7 linked regions of the Cricetulus griseus genome follow. The protein of the gene in region 4 interacts with the protein of the main gene of each other region in a biochemical or structural test. Links are inferred from orthologs where the notes say so. Each region holds a gene or a part of one and is shown on either strand. Other genes may lie near its edges. The genes, in order: Ckap2, Tex33, Scel, Lrrk1, Nek1, Bag5 and Bag1.

Region 1 (4,023 bases), on a different chromosome or scaffold from region 4:
CATTTCGAGCGGGTCTTTCATCACCAGATGTGCCCAGATTTAGGATGGGTCTTCTCACCTCAGATAACCCAATGAAGAAAATCCCTCACAGGCATGCCCAAATGCTTAGGTTTTTGTTAATTCCAGATACAGTCAAGTTGACAACCAAGCACACCACTAGAACCTTAGCAATAAGTCATATTGTAGTGAATGTGTAAAATAGCAGTGGTGTCTTTAAAAATAAGAGCTGTTGGTAAGGCTACAATAAAATAGGATATTTTAAAAGGAAAAAAAAAAAAACTACAGAAGGACCAGGGATTTAGCTCAGTGGCAGCGCACTTGAACAAGTCACTGAGTTCCACTCCAACCCTTAAAAAAAAATGTACTGGCAAAGCATCTGGGGGTGGGAGTGGGGGGTTGACAACGACGATGACGACTACGACAGCAAGAGATGGCTATTTAGTAAGCTAAATAAGATAGCCCAAGATAAATTGCAGCTGGGCCCTGGACCTGCAACATTCCAACTTCTCCACAATCATTGAGGTTTTAATCAATTAATCAGCCTTGCAAAAAGTTTCACTTTGAAGATGCAGCCTCTTTCTGGGAATATATTTTATACATGTCATCTCCTTGAAGACTGGGGTTACAATGGTGTACCACCATTGCCCGTCTGTCTGGGTTTTATATAGGTGACACGTTTAAATGATGGGAGTGAACGATTATAGTAGCAAACCTAAATATACAAACATAGAAAAACCAGGCAATGTGAGATTCGAGTTCCTGGGATAGAGTTGAGTTTGGTACACTGAGAGACTTTCAATAAAATAACAGCACAAAGGTAGACCTTAAGATTTTGTTTGCGAGCTGTGCAAACATGGACATCTAACATCTGAGCTCATCTCGTTTGTGAGATGTGATCACAACCCACTTCAGTAATGCAGCTCCAAAGGGCAGTGGTGAATATGTACTCCTCAGGGACCTTCTGAGCTGTAGCCTCGGTGAGCTCGCCAGCAGCCATCTGCTGTCCTTTGCCTTACTCGGGCTGTGTCTGAAGATTTGTCCCGACTTGTCAACCCTAGTCCTGCTACAGCCTGAGGATTCAACAAGCCCGCTCCGCCCCAGTCCATTCAGCTGAAGAGCGTTGTTTAATTTTCGAAAAACTCACGCCGCCAACTGCCAACTCTGCAGACTCCCGGACGGCCCCGCCCCTCGTCCAGGCTCCGCCCCCCCGCGCTCATTGGTCCATTCAATTCACGCCGGCGCCTAGACGCGCACATTACGAGATGGCAGAGTCCAGGAAACGCTCTGCAGGCCGGGCTGGGAGGAACACTTTGCGGGTGCCACGGGACCTGCAGCTGCCCCCGACCAAGAGAGACCAGCCGGCCTTCAGAGGTAAGCAGCGGCGCGGGGCCTGGGCCGCAAACCCTCCTCACGCCCTTCTGAGAGCCTAGGCCTCTGCCCCGCGCCTCGGTAGAAGCCGGCGCGGGCAGCGGTTTAGCTCGGGGGTCCGGGTTTGAGGGCTGAGGGGGGCGGGGCCGCAAGGACCCCCGACTGCGCCTGCGCGCTGGCTCGCCCAGCTCTAAGCTCTGGAGGTGAGGCTGGGGGACTTACGTCAAAATTTGGAGACTAGTAGTAGCTCGTCTCTACCATTGTATCTTATAGACGCTTTCTGGAACCGAAAGTCGAAATGGTGTTCCCTAGGGAACGTGATTATCTTTCTGTCTGCCCGTCTGTCGGCGATGCCCGTCCGTCAGTCTGTCTTTTCTGGTACTGCTGAGGATAGACCCCCGTTGTTCTATCGTAGAGCTACAGCCTCAGTCTAAACTCGACTCAGAGAATGTGTTCTTATTCAGAGCAGTTGTCAGCATCATTCCGCCTAGGTTTATGCCAGCTAGACACAAGACAGAGTCCTCTGGGAGGAGAAAATCTAAATTGAGAAATGTTTCCGTAAGATCAGGCTGTAGGCAAGTCTGTAGGGCATCTTTTTTTTTTTAATTAAATTTTTGGTGTTTTTCCTGCATGTATGTCTGTGTGAGGACAGGAGTTATAGACAGTGTGGGCTGCCACTTGGGTGCTGGGAATTGAATTGAACCCAGGCCCTCTGAAAGAGCAGCCAGTGCTCTTTAAACGCTGGGCCATTTCTCCAGCCCCAAAGATGGGCCACTACCTTCCCAGGACATCTCCCTCCCCCGACAGAGTTTCTCGGTGTAGCTTTGTAGACCAGGTTGACCTCGAACTCACTGAAATCCACTTGCTTCTGCATCCTGAGTCCTGGGATTAAAGTCGTGAGCCTTGCCTCAGGGCATCTTCTTAATTGACTCTTAAATGATTGATGGAAGAGAACCCTGCCCATTGTGGGCGGTGCCACCTCTGGGCTGTTAGTCTTGGGTGCTTAAAAAAGCAGGCAGAGCAAGCCAGTAAGCAACATTCCTTCATGGCCTCCAGATTCCTACCCTAAATGTCTTTGATAAAGACATGTGAATAAACCAAACCCTTTCTTCCCCAAGTTGCTGTTGGTCAGGTTGTTTCATCACAGCACTACTAACTCCAAGACAGCACCTTCCTATTAATGGGATCATTTCTCCAAGTTGGGAAATTTCCAATTTCACTGATATAGAAATATTTTCCCAGGGAGGAGTCACTTCACACACTTAGTGATTAGATAAGGTGCATTTGTCCTGCTAATGCCCAAGGAAGAGCCAGCCTTGAATAGAAGATTTCAATACTTGATGTTCAGTTTAGGCTTGTGCATTTTACTTATGCTGTCATCCTTAAATCTCTTTTGGGTCCCACCAGTTACTCTTGGAACAGTTTAAACAGACAGGAGAATACTTGGGCAGATGGGAGATTGACACAGCAAAGATAATTGCCAGATTGTTTAAGTATATTAGTGTTATTCTTTTCTGAATAAATTGTTAGCCAGAGTCCTCATTCCCCGTTGTGGAGCTATTAAAAATCTTTTAAAAAGCTCCAGTTTAAAATTCTATGTCAGCAGGGCCCTGTTGTTTTCATCACCTAAGAAAGTGGCTTCGAGGTTGGAACCATCTGTATCTGATGTAGTTCTACCTCAGCCCCTACAAGAGTGATATTAAAGTGGCTCCAGCAGTTCAGAGTTGGAGGTACAAAGGCCTAATACAGTGGTTCTCAACCAGTGGGTCCACACCCCTTCAGCTATCCTGCATATCAGGTATTTACAATTCATAACAGTAGCAAAATTACAGTTATGAAGTAGCAATGAAATAATTTTTTATGGTTGGGGGTTACCACAACATGAGTAAAACTATATTAAGGGGTTGCAGCATTAAGAAGGGCTCTGTTAGAGACATTAAGCTTTTTAATTCCAGTAACCATTCCAAGAATACCAGGGGCTCTGTAGCGTTTCCCCTCTGTTGGTCATACTTTCCTCTCTCTGTTTCACCCAATTTCTAACTAGCCCTAAATAGTTACCATAGTAATAGCACTCTTTATTCAAATAGTCATATAACCTTTTCTCAGCAGTTATTAGATGTATGCCTTTTACAGAGTTGTGAGGCTCTATTCATTTTCAGAAAAATATATCATCTACAAGGACCAACTATTATTTGGATGCACAGCTAGGCATAACTCATTAAATCAGATGATTTTTTTTTTTTTTACAAACCTGTTACTACCAGATACAACAGCTAGTAAAATTCTTTGTGTCAAAGTCCAGTCTGTGGGAACCATGGTAGCTACCCTGGAGGAAGAATTATGGCCAATAGTACCATGAGTCCTAAGGGAGGCAGAGGTATTGTGATCCCCATCTCCAAATGTCTCCTGCTGCATTCCTCAAGTTTCTATCGTGTACTGTGGCTTTTAGATTTGCAGTGGGAACAGGGCTGAAGAGCTGTTTTCTATGAGAGGCTTGTCTGGGTGGACTGTCACAGACCAGTCCCTCGGGTAGGATGGGTCACCTGCAACTCAGGGTTTAAAGGTGTACCCACAGTTGATCCTGCTATGCTGACTGGCCCTATGACAGAGGCTCTGTCTTAGATTTTCTAAAACTCTCCTGGGGGGTTGGGGGGG
Region 2 (4,005 bases), on a different chromosome or scaffold from region 4:
ACAGTGGGTCTAACTGGAAGATATACCTCCGTATCACTAAGAGAAAACACTCCTGGTTAGCCCTACACAGGGCCATCAAATGTTACACAGCCTGCAGTCAGAATGAGAGGAGATGGGTGTCTTGGCTGGGATGAGGCCAAGGTCTCGTGGGTCTGATGTTACAGCCAGCTACTTGTCTTCTCCTTTACTAAAGGACTCAAATGTTCTGGGTACCTTGGGGTACTGTGGAAGGTCTGAGACTGGCCCCCTACAGGGACTTCACCTGTGAGACCCTCTCCCCTTATCTAGGAGGAGAAAGGGGGCATCGTGGAACTCACAGTGAGATAGAAAGGAAAATCTCGGAGCTGTGAGGATGTGGACAGTGGACAGTGTCAGGTGTTGAGCAGAGAACTGACCCAACAGCCTGGGGCCGGTGGCGGAGAGGTGTGTGTGTGTGTGTGTGTGTGTGTGTGTGTGTGTGTGTGTGTGTACTTAAAGGTTGAAGGAAGGATCTGATTTGACTTTCAAAAAAGGGGGGTGATGGGTGGTAGAAAGATGACTCAGCAGTTAAGAGCTGCTCATCCAGAAGATCCAAGTTTGATTTCCAGCATTCATATGGCGGCTCACAATTGTCTGTGACTCCAGTACCTGGGAATCCAAAAGCAGTCTCTTCTGGCCTCTGTGGTCACTGTATGCATGTGATGTTTTACACATATGTACATGTAGACAGAACACCCACGTGCATAAAAATAAAGATTAAAAATATTTAAAAGGGACGGCCTCAATAGGTAGTGGAGCAGCCTGGGGGAGGCAGAGAGATGGGATGTTTCAGGGTGTGCAGGAAAGGAGTCAGCAGTCCCTTGTTGGAGCCAGGAATGATAGGAGGGTAGTCTACAGGATGAGGTTAGCAGTCCTGCTGGCAGCAGGAGTTTTGGAGTGATACAAGTGGGAATGAGAGAGGGAGCTGTTAGTGGCCCTGAGATCATGGGAGGTGGCCGGGATGGAAGGGAGAAGAGGTGGGGGACGGGGAACAAAGAGCAAGGCTCATACCCCATTTCTAGCACTTTGCAGACCTGAAATTTGGCCAAGCCAAGAGTCATCTCTGCCACCCCGATGCCTATTGGATTCATACAGTGTTTTGTTAGAATTCAAAGCAAGAAAGGGCCTTATGGAGACAACCCTGTCCTGTGTAGGTCTGCTCACTGACTTCCCTCTGTCTCCCTCATCTCTCTTTTCTCACCTTGCCTTGGGATCCTGCGATTTCTCTACTCTTGTCTCTACCCTTGTCTGTCTCTGGCTTTCTGGTTTTTGTCACTTTCTCTCCCACTGGCCCCTCTGTCACCTTTCCCACTTTTGCTTCTCACACTGGTCTGGTGGCTTCCTGTCTCTGTGCTGCCCTCTTCCTCCCTGCTCAGGTACAACCACTTTGACAAGGACCCAACCCAACAACAAGGAGGGCCAGCAGGACATGGACTCCTGGAGAGCTTCCCGTAGCAACTTGGACAGCTCCAAATCCAGTCACCATTCAGGGCTCTCTCAGAGTCCTCAATGCAGCCCCCTGGGCCAGAGCCACTTGGAGATGCCACCTCCGCCACCGACTCCTGCCAGCAGGACTTCTCTGGGCACGGGCTCACACTCTGAGGACCTGAAGAAGGGGTCATCTAGATCCAGCTTGAGAGAAGCCAGGGAGACCCCAGAGCACACAGTGTCTCTGAACCAGGACAGTGTTATTCCTGATAACATCCGCCACAAGTTTGGGAGCAAGGTGGTGGACCATCTGATCTCCGAGGAACAGGTGACAAAGCAGAGATGTGGGAGACTGAGTGGAAGAGGGTTGTCTTGGAGACTTAATGAGGGTACAAAACCCATTCCTGGAAACCATACCTATACTGTCAGAAAGTGACGGTTACTAAGACGTGCTATGCATGAGGCACTGTGTGCTGTCTCAAGCCTTTGTGCGAGACCACTATGAGGAAAGAGGTATTACCTCCATTTCACATGAATGAAGTCCAGGGCAAGAGGGGCTAAGCAGGTTAACCACATCTACCTAGCCATGTGGAATGAGGATCTAAAGTGGGTTCTAGAGCCCTGGCTGATACTGACTGCAGTTATAAGTCTGTTTGCATTAGTCATTTCAACCTGAACACAACTCCTAAAGGATCATTTTCTGGGTATCAGAGACATGGTTTGGGATGTGGCTCTATTTCAGCAGTGGCTTTTTTCCCCAAAGGCCAGGTAACTCTCTTTAAATTGCTTTCTGTTTCTGGCCTTCAGTCTCTAAATCTGCAAAATGAAACACCCAAACCATTCAGGCTGATAAATCCATGGCATATATACCATAAGTCTAGCCTTATTCATGGCAGACATGACAAATCAATCCTGGCAGTCTTTCCTACCTGCTGTATTCTTCTAGACAGCCATTACTTATCAATTGGAAATCGAGACTAGAATCACCCGCCATTTTTAGTCAAAGGATAAACTCTCATATTCTGAGACATATTTTAAGGCTGCAATTTCAACCCTTGTAGTGACTGCAATGTGTGGTCAGTAGAGCAGAGGTTATGGTTTCCTTTTAGACAGGATAACTAGGACCAGGACAGGTGTTGTGTGTGATCTGCTCAGAGCCACAAGGCCAGTAGATCCATGCAATAAAAAACTTGAGTGTCAGGGCCCTCCCAGGCTCACCTTCATTTGTCATTTCAAGGTAAACAACCCCACCCATCAGACACACTCATGGGGGTGGGTCACAGTCTTAAATGTCCTCCCTGCTTTGAACGACTTGTTCCTTTGGAGATGGGTGTGGTCACTCATGCAGCTCTTGGCCTTGGGAAGATACCGTTGGCCTCTGCAGCACAGTTTCTGGGGTACAGGTCCCTGGTGCCACTGAAGGAGCAAGTGTCTGAGCTGAAAGCTACTTGCAGGCTCTCAGGTTTGCTTTCCAGAGAAACTGAGGCCCAGAGAGGTCCCAAGGCCTGCCAAATTCAGCAGTTGCTCTATGTCAGAACTGGTGCTCATAGTCAGGTTTCCTGACTCATAGGCCCAGACTTGTCCCTTTGGGCCTCAGTTTCCTTCTTGATATGAGGAAGAAGTTGGTCTCGGTGTAAACTAAGTTAGGCTTGTGGGATGCCTTGGTAGTAAGCAGCAAGTTACTCTGGGGTTCCCCAGCTGTGTTAACTGAGGGGAGCCTGGCCTGTCAAAGTCCTGTTTCCTCATTTCTAAAATGATGGGAACAGGATCACCCTGTGAAGACCGTCTTCAGAGCTCAATGTGTGTAGAATCATTGCTCTGATACTGTATACAGTAAGAGCTCAATGTGTGTAGAATCATTTTGCCATGATGGTGTACACAGGAAGAGCTCAATGTGTGTAGAATCATTGCCATCACTTAAGATTTGGCTCTCTGGGAGGAGGAAATGAATGGGGATATGCAGAGCTTGCCCTGGGGGATTCAGCCTACAGTGGGGAAAGCCGGGTAGTGGCAGCATACATAATATCTTCCCATCACTTGTCTCTTGTTCTTGCCTCCTCCATCAGGCTCGAAAGGCCATTGGTGAAATCTTTGAGGGCCAGAAGAGATCAAGCTCATGGCCAAGCAGGACCCAGAGCCCTGCACAAATCTCCTCCATCTTCGCAGACTACTATGACCTGGGCTACCACATGCGGTCCAACTTGTTTCAAGGTCAGGTTAAAAGACAAGGGTGGGGCTGTGAGCATGCGTGGTCCAGAGAACATTGGGCACAGAAGGCCTTTGGGGTGTCCATCCTACCTGGACCTTAAGGTTCAAATGCATAGCCCCACAGACACTTTACAAACACCCAAGGCATCCTTCATGCTGGCATGTCCTATGGGAATGCCAGGACCATCTATCTAATCCCTGGAAGGTGTGTCTTCACTGAGCAGGTGGTACAGCCCACTTGGTAGTGAAGCCCCCACACTGGACACCTCTGGTTCCCTAACTTACCCCTGATCTGACACCTTTGCTGACAGTGATAATATCAGCTTTCTTGGGTTCAAAGGTCAGCGTGGC
Region 3 (3,500 bases), on a different chromosome or scaffold from region 4:
ATGTCTTTACTCTCAAAACTTACTAACACGGAAGAGGAAAAATTGCTACAATTTCCACTATTTTTTTTTCATTGAGAATTTCCTCTGTTGCATGGGAGAGATTGAATGTCTTTATGCTCTGTTAAACATGATGACATTTTTAGATCAGCAGAAATCTAGGTCAGACTTCTGTAGTCTTCAAAGCATTACCTTTCATTAAGACCAAATGGGAACTGGAGAGTGTCAAAGCAGCCCCTGCGTCGTTCATTAAACTGATGAATTCTTAGATATGTAGTACAAATGAGGCTTTCTAAAGGGCGCTGCTGTTATGAAAATGATTGAGGAACTAATTTTCAGTTGATTTTAGTCTTGATGAAAATACATTCAATCACAGCATTAGATGACATGGCCCATGTTTGTGAATTATTCTTGAAGGTAAGACAGTAATTTCTGTGGAACCAGTTGAACCAATAAAGCAGTCTATACTTTAATGTATATTCCTGTGCAGAAACCTGGTAGATACAAAGAAATACCATCTATATAGCACAACTTTAACAAAGCAAAATGATTGTATATGACCTTGATTTTGAAGGCCAAATATATATGTTTCTTCTTGCAGGCTAGATGGTCAAGTCAATGGATTCACCAACACTCAACTCAAGGAGTCCACGAGAACCTCTGTCTATTCTTATGATGTCAGAAATAGCCTCAGGTACTAAAGACAGTTATAAAACCAATGACAGGACTATTCCTGTGTCTACTTATTTACATGCAAGCTAGCCATTTGTTTTAAAGCATGGAACTTTTGATATGTAAATACTCTTACATGAAATTGTTGAGTCAACAACTCAATTATTGCTGGGATGCACATAGAATAATATAAAATGTGATTGTTGCTTTAATGTCTAAAATCACATAAAACAAGATTATGACATTGATGTTGATATTCTTCTTTTAAAGATTTATTGATTTCATTTTATGTGTATGTATGTATACCCAAGTCTATGTATGTGCACCACACATCTACTGATACCCACAGAGTCCAGAATGTATCAGATCTCTGGAACAGGAAATGTAGGTGACTGGGAGCCACCCAATGTGGGTGCTGGGAACTAAACCTGGGTTCCCTGCAACAACAAGTGCTCTTACCTACTGAGCCATCTCTCTAACCCAGGCATTCACATTCTTGAATGAGATCTTCCTGACTATATCATTGAACCTGAGGTTTGAATAGTCAATTAAAGTTCACTTTTAACTTAAGGTTTATTGGGGAAATCTATGGTTTAGAAATGAACTAGGCATCAGGGAAACAGATACTAAAAAACAGTACATAGACAGTTAAAATCATCGGCATGCTCTAAGACAATTTTATTAAATCATTAGTTTTCACATTAATAATACTAAAGCAGAACAAGACAGGGATGTTAAGAGTTAAATGGGAGAGGTGGAAAATTTTTTCAGAGGTTGATTAATAACACTTGAACATTTTCATTTGAACAGTTGGTTTAGAAGATATATATATCCTTATAAGGTACATACATACACACATATATACATATGTATAAATATATATATTACATTTTGCATTTTATTGGAAAATGTTTTTGCTTTTATCATCCTCACAAGTGACATTTTAACATGAAACTCAATGGTTTTATTGTAGTTCCGATACTGGAACCAGGAATGCTGGGCCTAAGGACACAGTTGTCTATACAAGGACATATGTGGAGAGTAGGTAATGGAAAAGTGCTTCAGATATTTCATTTCTTTTTACAGCTGTGAATGATCCATGCTGCTTAGGAGGTGCTACCATTTCAGGGTGTGCCTCCTTCATAGAGAGGACAGTTTAATATATTGTAAGTTCTATGCAGACAATGTTTATGTTGTGCGCAACATAAGTAGTTGATAAATGACTTATAGTCACTAAATATACTCAAAAGAATTGCAAATAACTAATGAGTAAGTAATAAGATTCACAATCAGATGTTATTACATAAATGTGCATAACTATTTGGTTATAACAAACTTTTTCATCTCAATCACCTTAATGCAAAGGCTCTACTACTTACTCCCAATTTAACACAGAAGACATATCTTTAGGTCAACATATCATGACCTAAATTGCAGACTATTGATGTCCTATGAAACTGTCTGCTTGGAATGAAGGATGTCAACAAAAGTATAACAGAGGACATGGATTCAAGGAGTATAAAAAATGAGAACTGGCCTAATTATAGGTTAATATAATGGAAAGTCCATAAATGCAGACACATGTGACATGTGTGAATTTATTTCAATGAAGCCCAAGACAACAAATAGTTCAGGGAATCTTCTGTGTGCATGGGAACTCCCAAGGACAACTCAAGACCTCTTTGGGTCAAACCTGTGTGTAATTTACACATATAGCTTCCAAAGTAATTTTTTCTTAATTCAATTTTTGCTCCGTTGTGGCCCCATGACAGTAATTCTTGCTAACATTTAATTAAACTAAAAGACAAAACATTTGAGAGAAAAATAATAAGTAGTTACTGAATCTGAAAGAAATAGGCACATATATAAATAGCATGGGGATGATATAATGACAAGACACAAAATATTGGCAAGTAGGATAAAAGAATAGGCATTGATTCTATGCTTACATGACACTCTGTTTTCATACATTGGTAACCCTATGAGATAGCATATCAACACATTTTGATTTCTAAAGAAATGTCTCATTGAAACAAAGTCCAACAACTGTGGTATCAATTTTTACAAAACAGTAAACCTCTAGAATTAGGCTTGGTCTACTAAATACTACTTTCCAGATTTTTTTAACTTATTGAATAATTCATTAAAATATCAACTTGATTTATACAAGTACAGAAACTAAACCACATTTGAATTATTTAGCCCCATTGGCTATGGTTTGCCTATGTAAACTGCTGTGCACATGGTATCGGAATATCTGTGTGTATGGCATTGGAATATCTGTGTGTATGTGTACAGACAGCAATTCTCAAGTGTGATTTCTGTGCTGGATTCAACAGTATCGCTTCAGACTTGTTACAAGTGGAAATTACTTGGTCCCATCCCAGACCTGAAGAATCATAAACTCTGCCATTGGGGTCCTGGCCATCTGTGTTTTAACAAATTCAATGTGCTTTTGACGCAAATGCAGATTTGAAAACTGTAGCTATAAAAGATAATATTGTATCATGTCAGACCAATAATATGTAGGTTAGAATATTCTAAAAGGATATATTTGCTACTGTTTGTTTCTTACCCTAAGGCGACAGTGATGTCCCTCAAATATCTCCAGCTTTCTTAAAGTGTACACTGAAGGATGCACAGTGTATTGTGAAGTCTCTAGAGTTAGGTTCAGGATTGAGTTATTGTTTGTCATTTACAAACCCAATAGCCTTGGCAAAGGTGCACGTGTGTGTGTGTGTGTGTGTGTGTGTGTGTGTGTGTGTGTTGTGTTGTGTGTGTGTTGGTATTTTAATTTACATTAAACTATTTTACTTACTTAAATTACTTAA
Region 4 (3,500 bases):
GGAGACACACCTTCCTGGGCCACCTTGCTGCCCAGGTCTCAGTCAACTTTACAGGTGACCATCATTGCCCAGCACTGCCCAACACTGCCCAGAATTGCCCAGTGCTGCCCAGCATTGCCCAACACTTCCCAACGCTGGCCAGCATTGCCCAGAAGACCTACTTCCTCACCCTCCTAACCCATACACTCACTGTATTCCCCACCCCTAAGCTAAGCCATCTCCACCACGTGCTGGCATTGAATCCAGCCTCACCAGGGCTGGCCAGCCCATCACTGCACTGGTCCTGGGCCTTCTCCTTCAAACAGCAGATACAGGAGCTTCACCTTCCCAGCCTTGTCCAGGAGCGTCCCTCCTGATGAACTGCCGGGATCCAGAGCCATGACCTCTCCTCTGAGAAGTTGTGTGGCATTGCCTACTCTCCCATTCTCTGCTGCCCTCCCTGGATCCAGAAAGGCTATGAGGGGCCTGAGGATGCAACACATGCTCTCCCCCAGTGCATAAAGAGAACTTCCTTGCACCACTTTTTAAAATGTGCTGGCCATCCTTATGTGATCTCCATCTGTCTATATGCAATGGGGGCGATAGTAGGAATGAATTAGTTTCTGATCTTATGGAGCCCAGAGTTCCAGGCTGTGCACTTGGTAACTAAGTATTACTGTGACTTCCTGATAGTTCCCAAATCTGTGGGCTCTTCTCTCTGTGCTGTTCTAGCTTCATTTCTTTAGAAAAGGAAAAAGAAGACTTGCAAAATAGGTATGAAATGACCCTTAGAGTCATTTATGGCCATTGCCCCAGAGGCAGGCCTGGGCAGCTGGGAACTCCCTGCACCAGAGCCAGGGGGAACTGGACACAAAGCATTATTGAAGGACCCCGATGGCCAGAGCCCTAGCCAGTGTGCACGTCCTGCCCTAGCAGAGAGAATAAAGCGGGCTCTGTGTGAGCCTCCTGTGCAGGGTGCCTGCCCCTGTGGAGGTCGTCCTGCAGAGGCCACACAGAGCAGACCCATGCGTTCTTGCACAAGCTCGCTCACATCCTGCCAGACGGACGTGGTGTTCCCCACGCTGGCCAACACAGCCAGGATCCAGAAAGACTTATGGCCTGTTTGCTCTGGCTGCTTTATTGACCTAAATCCTCAAGGTGGAGTTTGAGAAACTTTCTTAGGGCTCTCTACTGTGGATGTTGAGTGAGAGGCCACTCACTCCACTACCCTGACCAGACAGCCCACACTGCTATACACACACACACACACACACACACACACACACACTCCCAACAAAGTGGCTTTCTGCCATTCCCCCTGGTTGGAACAAGGCTGGACCCTGTTCTGTCCTGAACTCTAACTTGGTTCTGAGGCACTTTACATGCCCCACTGCACTCTGTGTCTGCTCAGGGAGATAACCTGGGAAGCCTGCATTTGGCTTTCTGCCTGCAACTTTGACCTCTGTCTAGTGACCTCTGGTGGGTAGCTACAGAGGAAGCCATGCTAGTGTCAGCATAGGCTTTTCAGAGTGTGTGTGAGCTCATGGGGCCAAGACACTCTCTCTGTGTGTGGAGAGTTAAGTTAGAAGCTGTTTCTTCTGGAAACATACGATGTCTACTTGATGGGAACAGTGGAGTCGAGGGTTGCAGAGATGAATGAGACTTAATCCTTCCTAGGCCAGTACAGTGCCAAGGTGGCAGTGGTGGGCACAGAGATCTGGGCTCTGCTTTGCTGGAGCACTCTACCTAGTGTGGGCAGAGTTCCTCATGCCTATCACAGCTGTCATGTTAATAAGATGTTTACAATAGGGAAAACATTCTGCCCTGCCTTCCAGTGAGGCCTTCATGGCATTCAGGAAAAGCAGCTCCCTGCTGCTCATGCAGCAAGGGATCAATCCCAGGTAGTGGCACCCTTGCCGGATGCCCTCAGCACTGTGGACACAGTTCCTCCCTGGCACACCCCTTGCCTTGCAACACCAAGGATGTATGGTGGCTCTGGTGGGGCCAAGCTACATCTTTTCTGGACCTAGGCCTGAGACTCCCGAACAGATCAGGATTTCAAAGCCCTTACTTCTCTGAGGCATTAAGAGAGATCATGTGCCCACTTGAGGCACACATGAAGATGGGTCTAGTGCCTGTGGTTTTTCTCCCAGAATGTGTGACCTGAAGGAGCTTCATGTGTCCCTGTCCCCTCCCCACAGAACTCCTTTCTGGTGCTGGCTGGCCTGGCTGATGGACTTGTGGCTGTGTTTCCGGTGGTACGGGGCACCCCAAAAGAAAGCTGTTCCTACTTGTGCTCGCACACAGCCAACAGGTCCAAGTTCTGTATCCCAGATGAAGATGCACGGCAGAACCCCTACCCAGTGAAGGCGATGGAAGTGGTCAACAGTGGGTCTGAGGTCTGGTACAGCAATGGCCCTGGCCTCCTCATCATCGACTGCACAGTCCTGGATATCAGCAGGCGACTGGAGCCCTTTGCAGCCCCTTCCACGGTCACATCAATTGTGTGCAGCTCAGACTGCAGAGGGGAGGAGGTGGTCTGGTGCCTAGATGACAAGGCCAATTCCTTAGTCATGTACCACTCAGCCACCTACCAGCTGTGTGCCCGGTACTTCTGTGGGGACCCCAGTCCTCTCAGGGACACGTTTCCTGTGCAGCCCTCAGTCCCAGAAGCCCCAGGCAGTCACATAGTCACCTCAAAGGAGCCAGAGGAAGAGTGCATTGCAGACGTGAGCATCATGTACAGTGAGGAGCTGGGCATGCAGATCCTGACCCACCAGGACTCACTCACTGACTACTGCTCCATGTCCTCCTACTCCTCGTCCCCACCCCACCGAGATCCCAGGTCCCCGTCCAGTCTGCCCAGCTCCCTGACCAGCTATTCCAGTGTGCCTTTCTCCACTGATTATGAAGATCCAGACAGGCCCAGCGTCACTTCTGACAGATCTGAGCCTGACCTGACCCCCATGGATGGGGAGACGTTCAACCAACACCTGCAGGCTGTGAAGGTTCTTGCTGTCAAAGACCTCATTTGGGTCCCCAGGTAAGTGTTTTTGAGTGGGGGTGCCATTTCTGAGCTGTCCAGTGCTCTTGTTTTGGGGCCGAAGTGAGTGGAACCCATGGCTTCTTGAAAGATTTGCAAATCCATCTGGGCAGTTCTCCCAAGAAGTCTTTGCCATTTGCTTTTAGAATTAGGAGTGATAGCTGGGCAGTGGTGGTGTACGCCTTTAATCCCAGCACTCCTCTGGAGGCAGAGACAGGAGAATCTGTGTGAGTTCAAGGCCAGCCTGGTCTACAGGGCCAGTGCCAGGACAGGCTCCAAAGCTACACAGAGAAACCCTGTCTCAAAAGAAAAAAAAAAAAAAGAATTGGGAGTGATCTCCAAGCAAATATAAGAAGCTCACCTGTCCATCAGAAAATTCAAGGTGCCCCCAAAACAAGAACCATGCTCAGGTTTCCTATAGAAGGTCTTTCCCTGTGTCACACCGCCTCCACTCACTCTCTTCACAAAAACTTCAGGC
Region 5 (3,500 bases), on a different chromosome or scaffold from region 4:
GTTGCCATGCAGCAGAGTGAAGTTTATGAGGCTAGAATTCCAGAGAATGTGAACCAATCTTATGAGGATTATATAGGTAAGCTCTACTATATTAGTCTAATTCTTTCTGAAACACTTAACACCAACCTGTCTAATTTGGGCACCATATTTAAGAGCACTTTTGCTTGTTTGTTTTGTTTGTTTGTTTGTTTGTTTGTTTGTTTGTTTCGAGACCGTGTTTCTCTGTGTAACAGCTCTGCTGTCCTGGAACTCACTCTGTAGACTAGGCTAGCTTCGAACTCACAGAGATCCACCTGCCTCTGCCTCCCAAGTGCTGTGATTAAAGGTGTGCGCCACTACCACCTGGCAAGAGCATTTCTTATGGTCATCATAATTCTATTTTAAAAATAGGCCTAGAGAACAGGAACCTGTACTAGCCAGCCCGGTGTTGTGGTAACATAAGCAGTTAACCTTTTGGTAAATTATATTCTTAAAAATGAAAAAAAAGTTCTGTTAAAACAAAACCAGTATACTAAAGGCACCAAATAAACTAGTTTCTTTCTAAAATACCATTGGTTGAAATATAAGATAATATAAACATTTTTTCTACTCTATAGAAACAAACTAAAAAATTGATTTTCTATTTTAAACTTCCAATATAATGAAAATATATATTAAATTAAATCATTAAAATCAAACAGTATATCTGTTTTAAGGTTATTTATAAGGTAGTATACAGTATACTTATAGGTATACTTTGATTTTATTTTCCTGGTGTGAGTTTTTTTTGATGGAATCATTTTTTAATTAAAAATATTGTATATGTCTGAGTGTTTTGCCTGAATAGAAGTAATATTTGTTCCATGTGTAGTCTTGGCACCCAGAAACCAGAAGAGCATGGCAGATTCCCTGGAACTGTAGTTACAGATGGTTATGAACTGCTGTGTGTGCCCTGGGAGCTAAACCCAGGTCCCCTGCAAGTACAGCAAGTGCTTTTAAGGCTAAGCAGCATCTACAGCCCCTTGGATAGGATTTGTATTAACTATTGTATGATATTTGTCGATCTTTAAGTGCTACTGTGTAGACTGATGGTAGAACCTCCTTTTGCCCCACAGAATCTGCAGTGGGTGATTCTCAGCAGTCTGGATTTGATGTGGGGAAATCAGTACAACCAGAACCATTCTTCCAGAAAGTGCTTCATTCTGAGCACTTGAACTTAGTTCAGTCAACTCACTGTCCACCAGAAGAATCAGTTTTACTCCGAACCCGCTCTGATTCACCACCAAAAACTAAAACCAAGAATTCCTTACTGATTGGGCTTTCAACTGGTCTATTTGATGCCAACAACCCAAAGGTAAATGTGGTCTCAGATATGGATAGTGCTGTCTCTCCACTGATAACATTGCTTGATTGCCAGTGTTTGGTTTTAATTGATTCAGAACCCAAACAAGTGTAAACACACACAAACAAAAGCCCCTATTTTATTGGCTAAGGTTCTTTTTAGTGGTACTAAAAAGTGAGCAATAGTTGCTCTCCAATAAAAATTCTACTTGGGGAATAAGACAGTTTAGTTTGTAGCAGTCATTCAGAGTGTTGGTCTGAGGAATTGTTTTCCCAGCTACCCATTCAATGTAACCACATCCAGGCCCCACATCAACATGCAAATACCTCAAGTGAAAGGATGTGGCTGGTTTCTGCAACCTCAGTGCCCCTTAATTCTGTTGAGGGGGGCAGGGCAGGTAAGTCCTTTCCTAATAGTTCCTTGGACTCCTACATACCACTGTGGCCCTGTGGTTTTCACTCCTTTATGGGTAGCTTTATTCTACAAGTAGGACTGTGGTGCAGAATGGAGACAGCTTCCTTCTGGATTCTCTTAGCTCCTCTGTCTGCTTCCCTGCCACGCTGTCCCCTGGCTTAGCAAATTCATTTAACTTCTTATATGTAATTTTATGTAATTTTTGTGTATGTATACATACCAAAATGTCTTGTATATTGTTTGTGTAGCTATTTTTATTGTATACATTGAAGTATTACTGTTTTGATATTAGTAAAAAGTAAGTCATTGTATTTCCCTCAGTATCTTGAATGACCAAATACTACATTAAGTTGCCATATCATTTTTACTATAGCTTTTTTTTTCAACTTTTTAAAATTTGAATTAGAAACAGGATTGTTTTACATGATAATCCCAGTTCCCTTCTCCCTCCGTCCTCCCCTACTCCCCCCAACACAACTAAAACCCTACCTATCACACATCCTTTGTGCTCCCCCTGAATGGTGTGGCCTTCCATAGGGTGTGATCAGAGTCTATTGTATCCTCTGGGATAGGGCCTAGGCCCACCCCCGTGTGTCTTGGCTCAAGGAATATTTCTCTATATGGAATGGGCTCCCAAAGTCCACACCTATGCTAGGGATAAAGTACTGAACTACTACAGGAGGTCCCGTAGATGTCCAAGGCTTCCTCACAGAAACCTGTGTTCCTGGGGTCTGGATCAGTCCCATGCTGGTATTCCAGCTATCAGTCTGGGGAGCAACAGTTCCCCGATGTTCAGATCAGCTGTTTCTGTGGGTTTCACCAGCCTGGTCTGGACCCCTTTGCTTTTCACTCGTCCTTCTCTATGACTGGATTCCACTTCAGTTCAGTGATTAGTTGTGGGTGTCTGCTTCTACTTTCACCAGCTGCTGGATGAAGGCTATAGGATGGCATATAAGTTAGTCATCAATCACATTATCAGGGGAGGGCATTTAAGGTAGCCTCTCCTCTGTTACTTAGATTGTTAGTTTGTGTCTTCTTTGTAGCTCTCCAGACCTTTCCCTAGTGCCTGATTTCTCTGTAAACCTAAAATGTCTCCCTCTATTATGGTATCTCCATTCATGTTAACTTCTATTCTTCCCTTAACTCAACCATTCTGCTCACTCATATCCTCCGCACCCCTCCACTTCTCCCCTTCTCATTCTCCTAGCTCCCTCCCGCTTCCATTGCTTACTCTAATTAGCAGACATTAGAAGATATAAACTACCAAAACAGATTTACAGTCTTAAGTGTTGAATACAGAGCATTATTGGACAGACATCACTATCATATTATGTAGGTACTTTCTTTTTATATTTGTGCACGTGTGCATATAGAAGCCAGTAGTCAGACTCAGGTGTTGTTCTTCAGGCTTTGATTTTTGTGACAGCATCCCTCATTGGTCTGGAGCTGACCAATTCATCCTCCTGTCTCTGCCACCTAGCACTGGGATTACAAGCACATATCACCATGCCAAGCTTATTACATGGGTGCTGGAATCAAACTCATGTCCTCATGTTTGCATGGCAAGCACTTTACCAGCTAAACCATTTCCCCAGCTCCCTATGTGCTTTCTATATAGCTGTCATTAGCCTGAGCTTTTGAACTTACTGGTATCACAATGAATGGTGCTTTTGAATATTGGTTTCCTCTTAAAACCTTAGTTGAGCTTGAAGACTCCTATTGAAGTACTGACTCTGGAAGATTTTAGCCATCGTGCAGATCTCAC
Region 6 (4,200 bases), on a different chromosome or scaffold from region 4:
TCTCTCACACACACACACACACACACACACACACACACACACACACACACACCCCAAAGTAAATGCTTGGCTGAGTTACATTTCCCCTCCCCAAACATGTTCAGACACCTGTTTCGTTTTTCCTTCTGCCCAAGGACTAAAATTCTATTTTTCTAGAGACAGAAGTGAAGGCTTGTCTGTTTCTCGTGCCAGGGAACCGAGCCAGAGGCCAGGAGCCCGGGCAACAAACCTTAACTGGAGACTAGACAGACTTCAAAAGCTGTAGTTCTAATAAAAGTGTTTCCGAGACGCAGCATAACAGAAATGGAAATTCACACAGCAGGCACATTTTGCAATTCTTAATTATCTCCCCCACACACCTTTTTTTTCCCCGCTGCGGCCCTTTAATTATTGCTTAAGCAAACCTCGCCAGCCTGTGTCGCCGGCCTGCTGGCAAATGCAGTGCGGGCAGCCATGGGCGCTGTCTAGTGCTCTCCACCTGAAGCCTCAGCCATCACTCTCACTGGCCCGGGCCTCCCTTAAACGAAGCACCGGCTCGGGAAGAAGGGCGGCGGGTTAAACAAAAGCCGAGCGCCCGGCCGCTTTCCCGGCTCGCTGCGGACGCGCCCTGCGGCCTCTGACGCTGCGCGACTGTTTACAAACAACGCGCGGCCCGAGCCGCCGCCGCCTCCAGACCGAGCCCGGGCGCCTTCGCGCAGCGGAAGTGAGGGCGCAGCGCGCCGACAGCGCTTCACGCCGGCTCCGGGGACGCCCCGCTCCCTCCCCGGGCGTCCGCTCACCGGGCTGGACGCCGCATCCCTGCGCTCCGTGCCGCGTTCCCGGGCCAGCCGGCCGCCGCCGCCGCCGCTGGACGAGGAGCGGACGAGCGGCCGGACGAGCGCTCCGCTTCCGGGCCGCAGAGCCGCCATGGCCGGCGCGCGGCGCGATCGCGACAGCGCCGCGGTCCGCTTTACGGCAGCGTCGCGCGGGCGGCGGCGGGCGGCGCGGGCGAGGCCGACCGTGCGCTTTCCCGGAGAGCGGCGGCGGGCGCGCCCGGGGCGGGGCCCGGCCGCGTTTTTCCCCGGGCTCGGAGCTGGGCGGCCGGCCCCGCGGCGGGCGCCGCCTCGGCAACGCTGCGGAAGTGCAGGCGGAGGAGCGCGCGCGATGGCGCGAGCGGCCCAGGTGAGCGCAGCGCAGCGCGGGGGGGGCGCGGGCCTCGTTCTCCCCGCCGCCGCCGCTCCCGCGCGCCCATTGTGAGGTCAGGCGGCGGCGCGTCGGGCCCGGCCGAGACGCCCCGGAGCGGCCGCCGCGGCCAGTAGCTGCCGCCGCCTCCGCCGGCCCCTTCACCGGCCGCCCGGGTCAGACCTAGCCGGGAAGGGCGAGGGGGATGCCGCTGGGGGCCCCGCTCCGGCGCCGCTCCCCGTGACGGGCCGGTCTCCCGCCTCGCCGCCCTCCGCGGCCGCCAAGACCGCCGCCGCCCGCACCTCTCCGGGCTTGGACTGAGTTCTGTGGCCGGCCCGCCGGAAGTGAGCGGTTTGACAGAAACCTGAGAGACGGAACGAGCGAGCGAGCGAGCGTGGGAAAAGCTCTAAGCATGCTTACGGGGAGGCGAGTGACCCAGCTAATAACCGCACTTGTCACGCTTTCTGGCGGGGGCCCGGGTCGGGGCAGCAATGGGAGTCGAGGGGGGCGAGGACTTCGTGGAAAGGACAAGTCCGGTTGGGCCTGGGGCAGAACGGTGGCCCGGTGAGGAGCCCCGGAGAGCGCCCGATGACTTCCACAGGGGAGCCTCCCGCCCCGCCTGCCGCTCCCAGTCGTCCTCTAGGGCGGTGGGAGCAGAGGAAACGGGGTTGACGCGGATGGTTTGGCCTCCGTGAAAGTGTGTGCGTGTGTGTGCGTGTGTGCGTGTGTGCGTGTGTGTGTGCGCGCGGCTCACTTTGATTCCCAGGCCCAGACATCCACCCCAGACTGGACAGACTTCTCCCTGTTTTCGTTTTGCTTTTGAGTCAGGATCTCACTGAGTGGCCCGGGCGGGTCTTGAACTCCTAATTCTCTTCCCTCTGCCTCCCTGGCGCCGGGCGTGTTGGCACATTGTTTTGTGAAGTGCTTTCCCGAGAGGGAGTTAACATGTCACATCTCCTCTTTCCTCGAGTATGTCTTCCAAATCTATAAATAACGACAAAACCTTCCGTCTGTGTGTTTTGGTGCTTGCCCGGGTGCCAGAGTTCAACCCTGCCCCCCTCCCCCCAGACACACCATTTCTGTGGTGTCCTTCTACTTTGTTTTTTTTGAGGCGGGGCTTCTCATGGCCCGAAGCTCCCCAATCGGAGTAGGCTAGCTGGCCAGTGAACCACAGAGTCCACGCGTCTCTGACTCCTGGCACCGGTGGTGTAAGTGAGCACCATCTTGCCTGGCTTTTACGTTTTATGTGCACCGGTGTTTTGCCTGCATGTATGTGTGTGCATCACATGTGTGCCTGGCGCCTGTAGAGGCCAAAAGAGGGGATCAGATCACCTGGAACTGGAGTTACAGGTGACCAGGAGAGGCCATGTGGGTGCTGGGAATTGAACCCAGGTCCTCTGGAGAGCATCCAGTGCTCTTAACCACTGAGCCCTCTCTAGGGCCCTTGCCCTGGCTGTCTTTGCATGTGTTCTGGAGCTCCAACTGGAGCACTTGACTGACAGCTGTCTCCATAGCCCCAATTAATCCTTTAAAAAGTATGCCTTTTAAAAGTGAGTTTAAAGTGGGTTGATCTAACTGTCCTGCAGAGACTGTAATAAGTTACTCTTGCCGTCTTTCAGTGCTTGTGAAACTGAACACAGAAGTATGGATATGGGAAACCAACACCCTTCTATTAGTAGGCTTCAGGAGATCCAAAGAGAAGTCAAGAGTATAGAGCCTCAAGTGGTTGGCTTCAGCGGCCTGGCGGATGACAAGAATTACAAGAGACTGGAGAGGATTCTGACGAAACAACTTTTTGAAATAGACTCTGTAGACACAGAAGGAAAAGGAGACATTCAGCAAGCTAGGAAGAGGGCAGCGCAGGAGACAGAAGGCCTTCTCAAAGAGTTGGAGCAGAATGCAAACCACCCACACCGGATTGAAATCCAGAACATCTTTAAGGAGGCACAGGCCCTTGTGAAAGAAAAGATCGTGCCCTTTTACAGTGGAGGCAACTGTGTGACTGACGAATTTGAGGAAGGCATCCAGGACATCATTCTGAGGCTGACGCATGTTAAAACAGGAGGGAAGATCTCTTTGCGGAAAGCAAGGTACCACACCCTAACCAAGATCTGTGCCGTGCAAGAGATCATTGAAGACTGCATGAAGAAGCAGCCTTCCCTGCCGCTCTCTGAGGATGTGCACCCTTCAGTTGCCAAGATCAATTTGGTGATGTGTGAGGTGAACAAGGCCAGGGGCACTTTGATCGCACTTCTGATGGGCGTGGACAGTACTGAGACTTGCAGGCACCTATCGTGCGTGCTGTCAGGGTTGATGGCTGATCTAGATGCTTTAGACGTGTGTGGGCGTACGGAGATCAGAAATTACCGGAGGGAGGTGGTGGAGGACATCAACAAACTACTGAAATACCTAGATTTAGAAGAGGAAGCTGACAGTACACATGCATTTGACCTGGGGCAGAACCATTCCATTCTGAAAATAGAAAAGGTGCTCAAGAGGATGCGAGAGATAAAAAATGAACTTCTCCAGGCTCAGAGCCCTCCCGAACTGTACCTGAGCTCCAAGACAGAACTTCAGGGCTTGATCGGACAGCTAGATGAAGTCAGTGTTGAGAAGAACCCCTGCATCCGGGAAGCCAGGAGAAGAGCCGTGATTGAAGTGCAGACCCTGATCACGTACCTGGACCTCAAGGAGGCCCTGGAGAAGAGGAAGCTCTTCCCTAGTGAGGAGAACCCCCCACACAAGGCTGTGTGGGATGTCCTTGGAAACCTGTCAGAGATTCAGGGTGAAGTCCTCTCGTTTGGTGGAAACCGAACTGATAAGAACTATATCCGTCTGGAGGAGCTGCTGACCAAACAGTTGCTGACCCTGGACGCTGTTGACCCCCAGGGAGAAGAGAAGTGTAAGTCTGCTAGGAAGCAGGCTGTGAAGCTGGCCCAGAACATCCTCAGCTACCTTGATCTGAAGTCCGACGAGTGGGAGTACTGATGGACCAGGAGCTGCTCCTGCTGGTTCACACTTTATCTGCTTTTAGAGAGC
Region 7 (3,221 bases), on a different chromosome or scaffold from region 4:
TTCTGGCCTGCATTCAGGCAGAAACTGTATTCATAATAAATAAATCTTTAAAAAGAAAAAAAAAAGCCGGGGTGTTGGTGGTTCACGCCTTTAATCCCAGCACTCAGGAGGCAGAGGCAGGTAGATCTCTGTGAGTTCAAGGCCAGCCTGATCTCCAGAGCGAGTGCCAGGATAGGCTCTAAAGCTACACAGAGAAACCCTGTCTTGAAAAACCAAAAAGAAAAAAAAAAAAGAAAAAAGAAAAAAAAGATAAAGAAAAGAAACACTTGCAATAGTATCTTACTCCTTCACAGGGTTTTCTGGCTAAGGAAGTTGAAGCAGAGGTTCTTTACAAACTTGATAGGAAAGTAAAGGCCACAATTGAGCAGTTCATGAAGATCTTGGAGGAGATTGACACAATGGTAAGTAAATATTCCGCTCAGAGATACTAGTTTTTAATGACGGCATTTCAGTTCATTTCTGTCTATCAGTATTACACGTCTGTTGCCTGTGAAAATCTGTTACTTGGGAATGTTAAGCATTTACTATTGTGTGCCAGGTGCTGTGTGTTCTAGTTAGCTTTAATGGTCAACACAGTCTGGAGATTACCTGTGAAGTGCCTCTCTGTTGAGGGATTACCAAGATTAGGGTGGTCTATGGGCACTGTGGGGGGTGAGGTTGTTTTGGTAATTGATATAGCCCATTATGTGTTGCATCATCCCTAGACAGATGGTCCAGGGCTGTGTAAGAAAGCTAGCTAGCTTTGAGCTGGAGAGATGGTTCATTGGTTAAGAGTACTGGTTGCTCTTCCAGACAACCTAGGTTTGATTCCCAGCACCTACACAGTGGCTCACAACTATTTTTAACTCTAGTTCCAGGGGATCCAGTGTCCTCTTCTGGCCTCTTCAGGTGTCAGGCATGCATATGGTATAGATATACCTGTAGGTAAACCACCCATAAAATTAAAATAAATAAACCTTAAAAAGAAAGCCAAGTGTGAGCCAGCAAGCAGCATTCATCCATGTTTTTTGCTTCAGGTTTCTTCCCCAATTGATCAGGGCATTTTCTCACAGCAATAGGGAGGAAACTAGGTTAGCATGCTAGGTTATTGGGTGAGTGTGTGGAGTTTCTGACCTGTAGGCATTCACAGCCCAACAACACAGAGGCTTCTGTAATATGTATGGTGTGTGTGTGTGTGTGTGTGTGTGTGTGTGTGGTCATGGACCTGGAACCCAACAAGTTTATGATCTTGTGGTTAAGGAAGTTTATTTCTTCTATACCACCACATTTCTTCTTTAACCACAGCCAGATCTTGGGAGACTGTCGAATTGCTGACCCAAGTTTTCTTTAACAGATGACTGTAAGGGTATCTCTAGCTTCATGCTTCATTCTTGAGAGTGAATTTCTCTGGGTTTAATTCTGTTGTGACTGAGGGGTTAGAAAAGAACAAACCAGCCAGGTGGTGGTGGCACAGGCCTTTAATCTCAGCACTCAGGAGGCAGAGGCAGGTGCATCTCTGTGAGTTCAAGGCCATCCTGGTCTTCATCATGAGTGCCAGGACAGTCAGGAATATGCAGAGAAATCCTGTCTCAAAACCAACTAAACAAACAAACAACCCCCTTCCACACACACACACACAAACAAACAATGGAAGGTACTTTTCCTGGCTTATTAGTATCCATATGTTTGGCACAGTGAAAAAACAAAATCTGTGTTTCAGATCAGGTTACACTCCAGACATTGCAACAAAGGGAGGGAGCATTCATAGGAATGAGAGCCATGAAGGGAGCCACATAGGATGCACACCGGGAGAAATGATGCCTGAAAGTGCACATCTTACTTATACTGGTGACCTGTGAATGTATTGTGTGGATTTCCAATGTCTTTTGTCATTGTCATTACGGATGTCAATTGTTTGGTGTGAACTGTTTCTCCCATAGGTACTACCAGAAGATTTTAAAGACAGCAGGCTAAAAAGGAAGAATTTGGTAAAAAAGGTTCAGGTGAGTGAGTTATATGGTAATACATGACAGGCTGTAATATATTTAGTGTGTTTGGTGTGTGTGTGTATATCTGCTCAAAACAGGGTAGTGTAGAACTGTGCTAAGAGGCATGGTCTATTGTTATTGTTTATTTATTAGCATGGACCCAAGAAAGGGATTCTTGCCCCTGTGTATGCGATATAATCAGTTTGGACAAGTTCACTGGAGAGGAGATAGGGCTAGCAAAGTTCCAGTAAGGGCCAATGGTGTGTCTAGTGCCCCCTTTTGGAGGTCGTTGGCTTAGGGCATAGTCAGAACTTGGCCCAATATTTCACTATCCCTGCCCCCCTCAACTTGGGAGTCCATGTCCATCCCTGCACAACCTGTTTAGAGTCTAATCTGCAGGTTCCCCAGAATGGCTGAATAAAGAACCTTGAATGGGCAGTGGTTGGCTTGTCCTAGGAGGGCCTCGAATTTCACTGCCTGTGTCTGTCTTGTAGGTGTTCCTAGCTGAGTGTGACATGGTGGAGCAATACATCTGCCAAGAGACACAGCGACTGCACTCTTCAGACTTTGCCCTTGATGAATGAAGTGCGGTAGAGAGTGGCTATGCTGACCTGAAGTGCAGCTTCACAGCTCTGCCCTGTCTTGAACAGAAGCTGCTTGTTTCTTCCGGGCTGCCAGAGGCAACTGGCCAAATGTCACTTTCCCTACTTCTCCATCGGTTCTGAATGAAAAAGTACTGTCTTTGCAACCTGAAGTAGAGTTCCTGCTTTCTCATTTGGCTCTTTATGGTTGTGGTGTGCAGCAGCTGCCTTTTTAGGAGAGAGGCCTTCCTGCCCAGTGGTTACCAGCTCTTGACATTCAGGTACTTTCTGGGCTGGGAAGAGCGCCTTCATCTGCGCTATTTCCCAGTTTGTAGGGTACCCTAGTTTTCAGATTCATGACCTTGTGATCTCAGTTTGTAGATGTAAAACCAGAATCATCTTTGTAGGAATGTTGGGTAGAAGTTTGGCACATGGACCATCCACAGAGTGCCTTGCTTTAGCTTAATTTCAGAACATCTGACTGGATTGTTGGTTTAAAGGCCTGTCCTCATCCCCCACTGCTCCTCCCCAGCCACAGGCCTTGGTTTCAAGGTGACATTCTTCTTTTCTTTTTATTTTTTTTTTTTGAGACAGGACCTCACTGTGTAGCCCTGGCTGTCCTGAAATTCACTATGTAGACCTGAGATCTGCCTGCCTCTACCTCCCATTTTCT

The links.
Region 1: the proteins of Lrrk1 (region 4) and Ckap2 form a complex in vitro, tested with the Homo sapiens proteins (2 studies listed by BioGRID and IntAct, with this or other methods). The link is inferred for Cricetulus griseus from reciprocal best matches to the Homo sapiens genes LRRK1 and CKAP2.
Region 2: the proteins of Lrrk1 (region 4) and Tex33 form a complex in vitro, tested with the Homo sapiens proteins (2 studies listed by BioGRID and IntAct, with this or other methods). The link is inferred for Cricetulus griseus from reciprocal best matches to the Homo sapiens genes LRRK1 and CIMIP4.
Region 3: the proteins of Lrrk1 (region 4) and Scel form a complex in vitro, tested with the Homo sapiens proteins (2 studies listed by BioGRID and IntAct, with this or other methods). The link is inferred for Cricetulus griseus from reciprocal best matches to the Homo sapiens genes LRRK1 and SCEL.
Region 5: the proteins of Lrrk1 (region 4) and Nek1 form a complex in vitro, tested with the Homo sapiens proteins (2 studies listed by BioGRID and IntAct, with this or other methods). The link is inferred for Cricetulus griseus from reciprocal best matches to the Homo sapiens genes LRRK1 and NEK1.
Region 6: the proteins of Lrrk1 (region 4) and Bag5 form a complex in vitro, tested with the Homo sapiens proteins (2 studies listed by BioGRID and IntAct, with this or other methods). The link is inferred for Cricetulus griseus from reciprocal best matches to the Homo sapiens genes LRRK1 and BAG5.
Region 7: the proteins of Lrrk1 (region 4) and Bag1 form a complex in vitro, tested with the Homo sapiens proteins (2 studies listed by BioGRID and IntAct, with this or other methods). The link is inferred for Cricetulus griseus from reciprocal best matches to the Homo sapiens genes LRRK1 and BAG1.

The regions. Positions count from the first base shown.
Region 1 is NW_023276807.1:61,473,269-61,477,291, forward strand, and holds the start of Ckap2 (cytoskeleton-associated protein 2), read left to right. Parts: upstream 1-1,223; 5' UTR 1,224-1,262; coding exon 1,263-1,371; intron 1,372-4,023. UniProt on the Homo sapiens protein: Possesses microtubule stabilizing properties. Involved in regulating aneuploidy, cell cycling, and cell death in a p53/TP53-dependent manner.
Region 2 is NC_048595.1:375,484,200-375,488,204, reverse strand, and holds the start of Tex33 (testis-expressed protein 33), read left to right. Parts: upstream 1-1,205; 5' UTR 1,206-1,447; coding exon 1,448-1,774; intron 1,775-3,512; coding exon 3,513-3,657; intron 3,658-4,005.
Region 3 is NW_023276807.1:255,218,610-255,222,109, forward strand, and holds part of Scel (sciellin), read left to right. Parts: intron 1-598; coding exon 599-691; intron 692-1,642; coding exon 1,643-1,714; intron 1,715-3,500. UniProt on the Homo sapiens protein: May function in the assembly or regulation of proteins in the cornified envelope. The LIM domain may be involved in homotypic or heterotypic associations and may function to localize sciellin to the cornified envelope.
Region 4 is NC_048596.1:131,008,393-131,011,892, forward strand, and holds part of Lrrk1 (leucine-rich repeat serine/threonine-protein kinase 1), read left to right. Parts: intron 1-2,180; coding exon 2,181-3,022; intron 3,023-3,500.
Region 5 is NW_023276806.1:238,837,695-238,841,194, forward strand, and holds part of Nek1 (serine/threonine-protein kinase Nek1), read left to right. Parts: coding exon 1-76; intron 77-1,094; coding exon 1,095-1,333; intron 1,334-3,500. UniProt on the Homo sapiens protein: Phosphorylates serines and threonines, but also appears to possess tyrosine kinase activity. Involved in DNA damage checkpoint control and for proper DNA damage repair.
Region 6 is NC_048598.1:182,322,638-182,326,837, forward strand, and holds the start of Bag5 (BAG family molecular chaperone regulator 5), read left to right. Parts: upstream 1-1,400; 5' UTR 1,401-1,573; coding exon 1,574-1,587; intron 1,588-2,780; coding exon 2,781-4,149; 3' UTR 4,150-4,200. Other genes in the region: cytochrome c oxidase assembly factor 8, read right to left, coding at 780-908. UniProt on the Homo sapiens protein: Co-chaperone for HSP/HSP70 proteins. It functions as a nucleotide-exchange factor promoting the release of ADP from HSP70, thereby activating HSP70-mediated protein refolding.
Region 7 is NC_048595.1:101,674,477-101,677,697, forward strand, and holds the end of Bag1 (BAG family molecular chaperone regulator 1), read left to right. Parts: intron 1-293; coding exon 294-401; intron 402-1,919; coding exon 1,920-1,982; intron 1,983-2,461; coding exon 2,462-2,551; 3' UTR 2,552-2,721; downstream 2,722-3,221. UniProt on the Homo sapiens protein: Co-chaperone for HSP70 and HSC70 chaperone proteins. Acts as a nucleotide-exchange factor (NEF) promoting the release of ADP from the HSP70 and HSC70 proteins thereby triggering client/substrate protein release.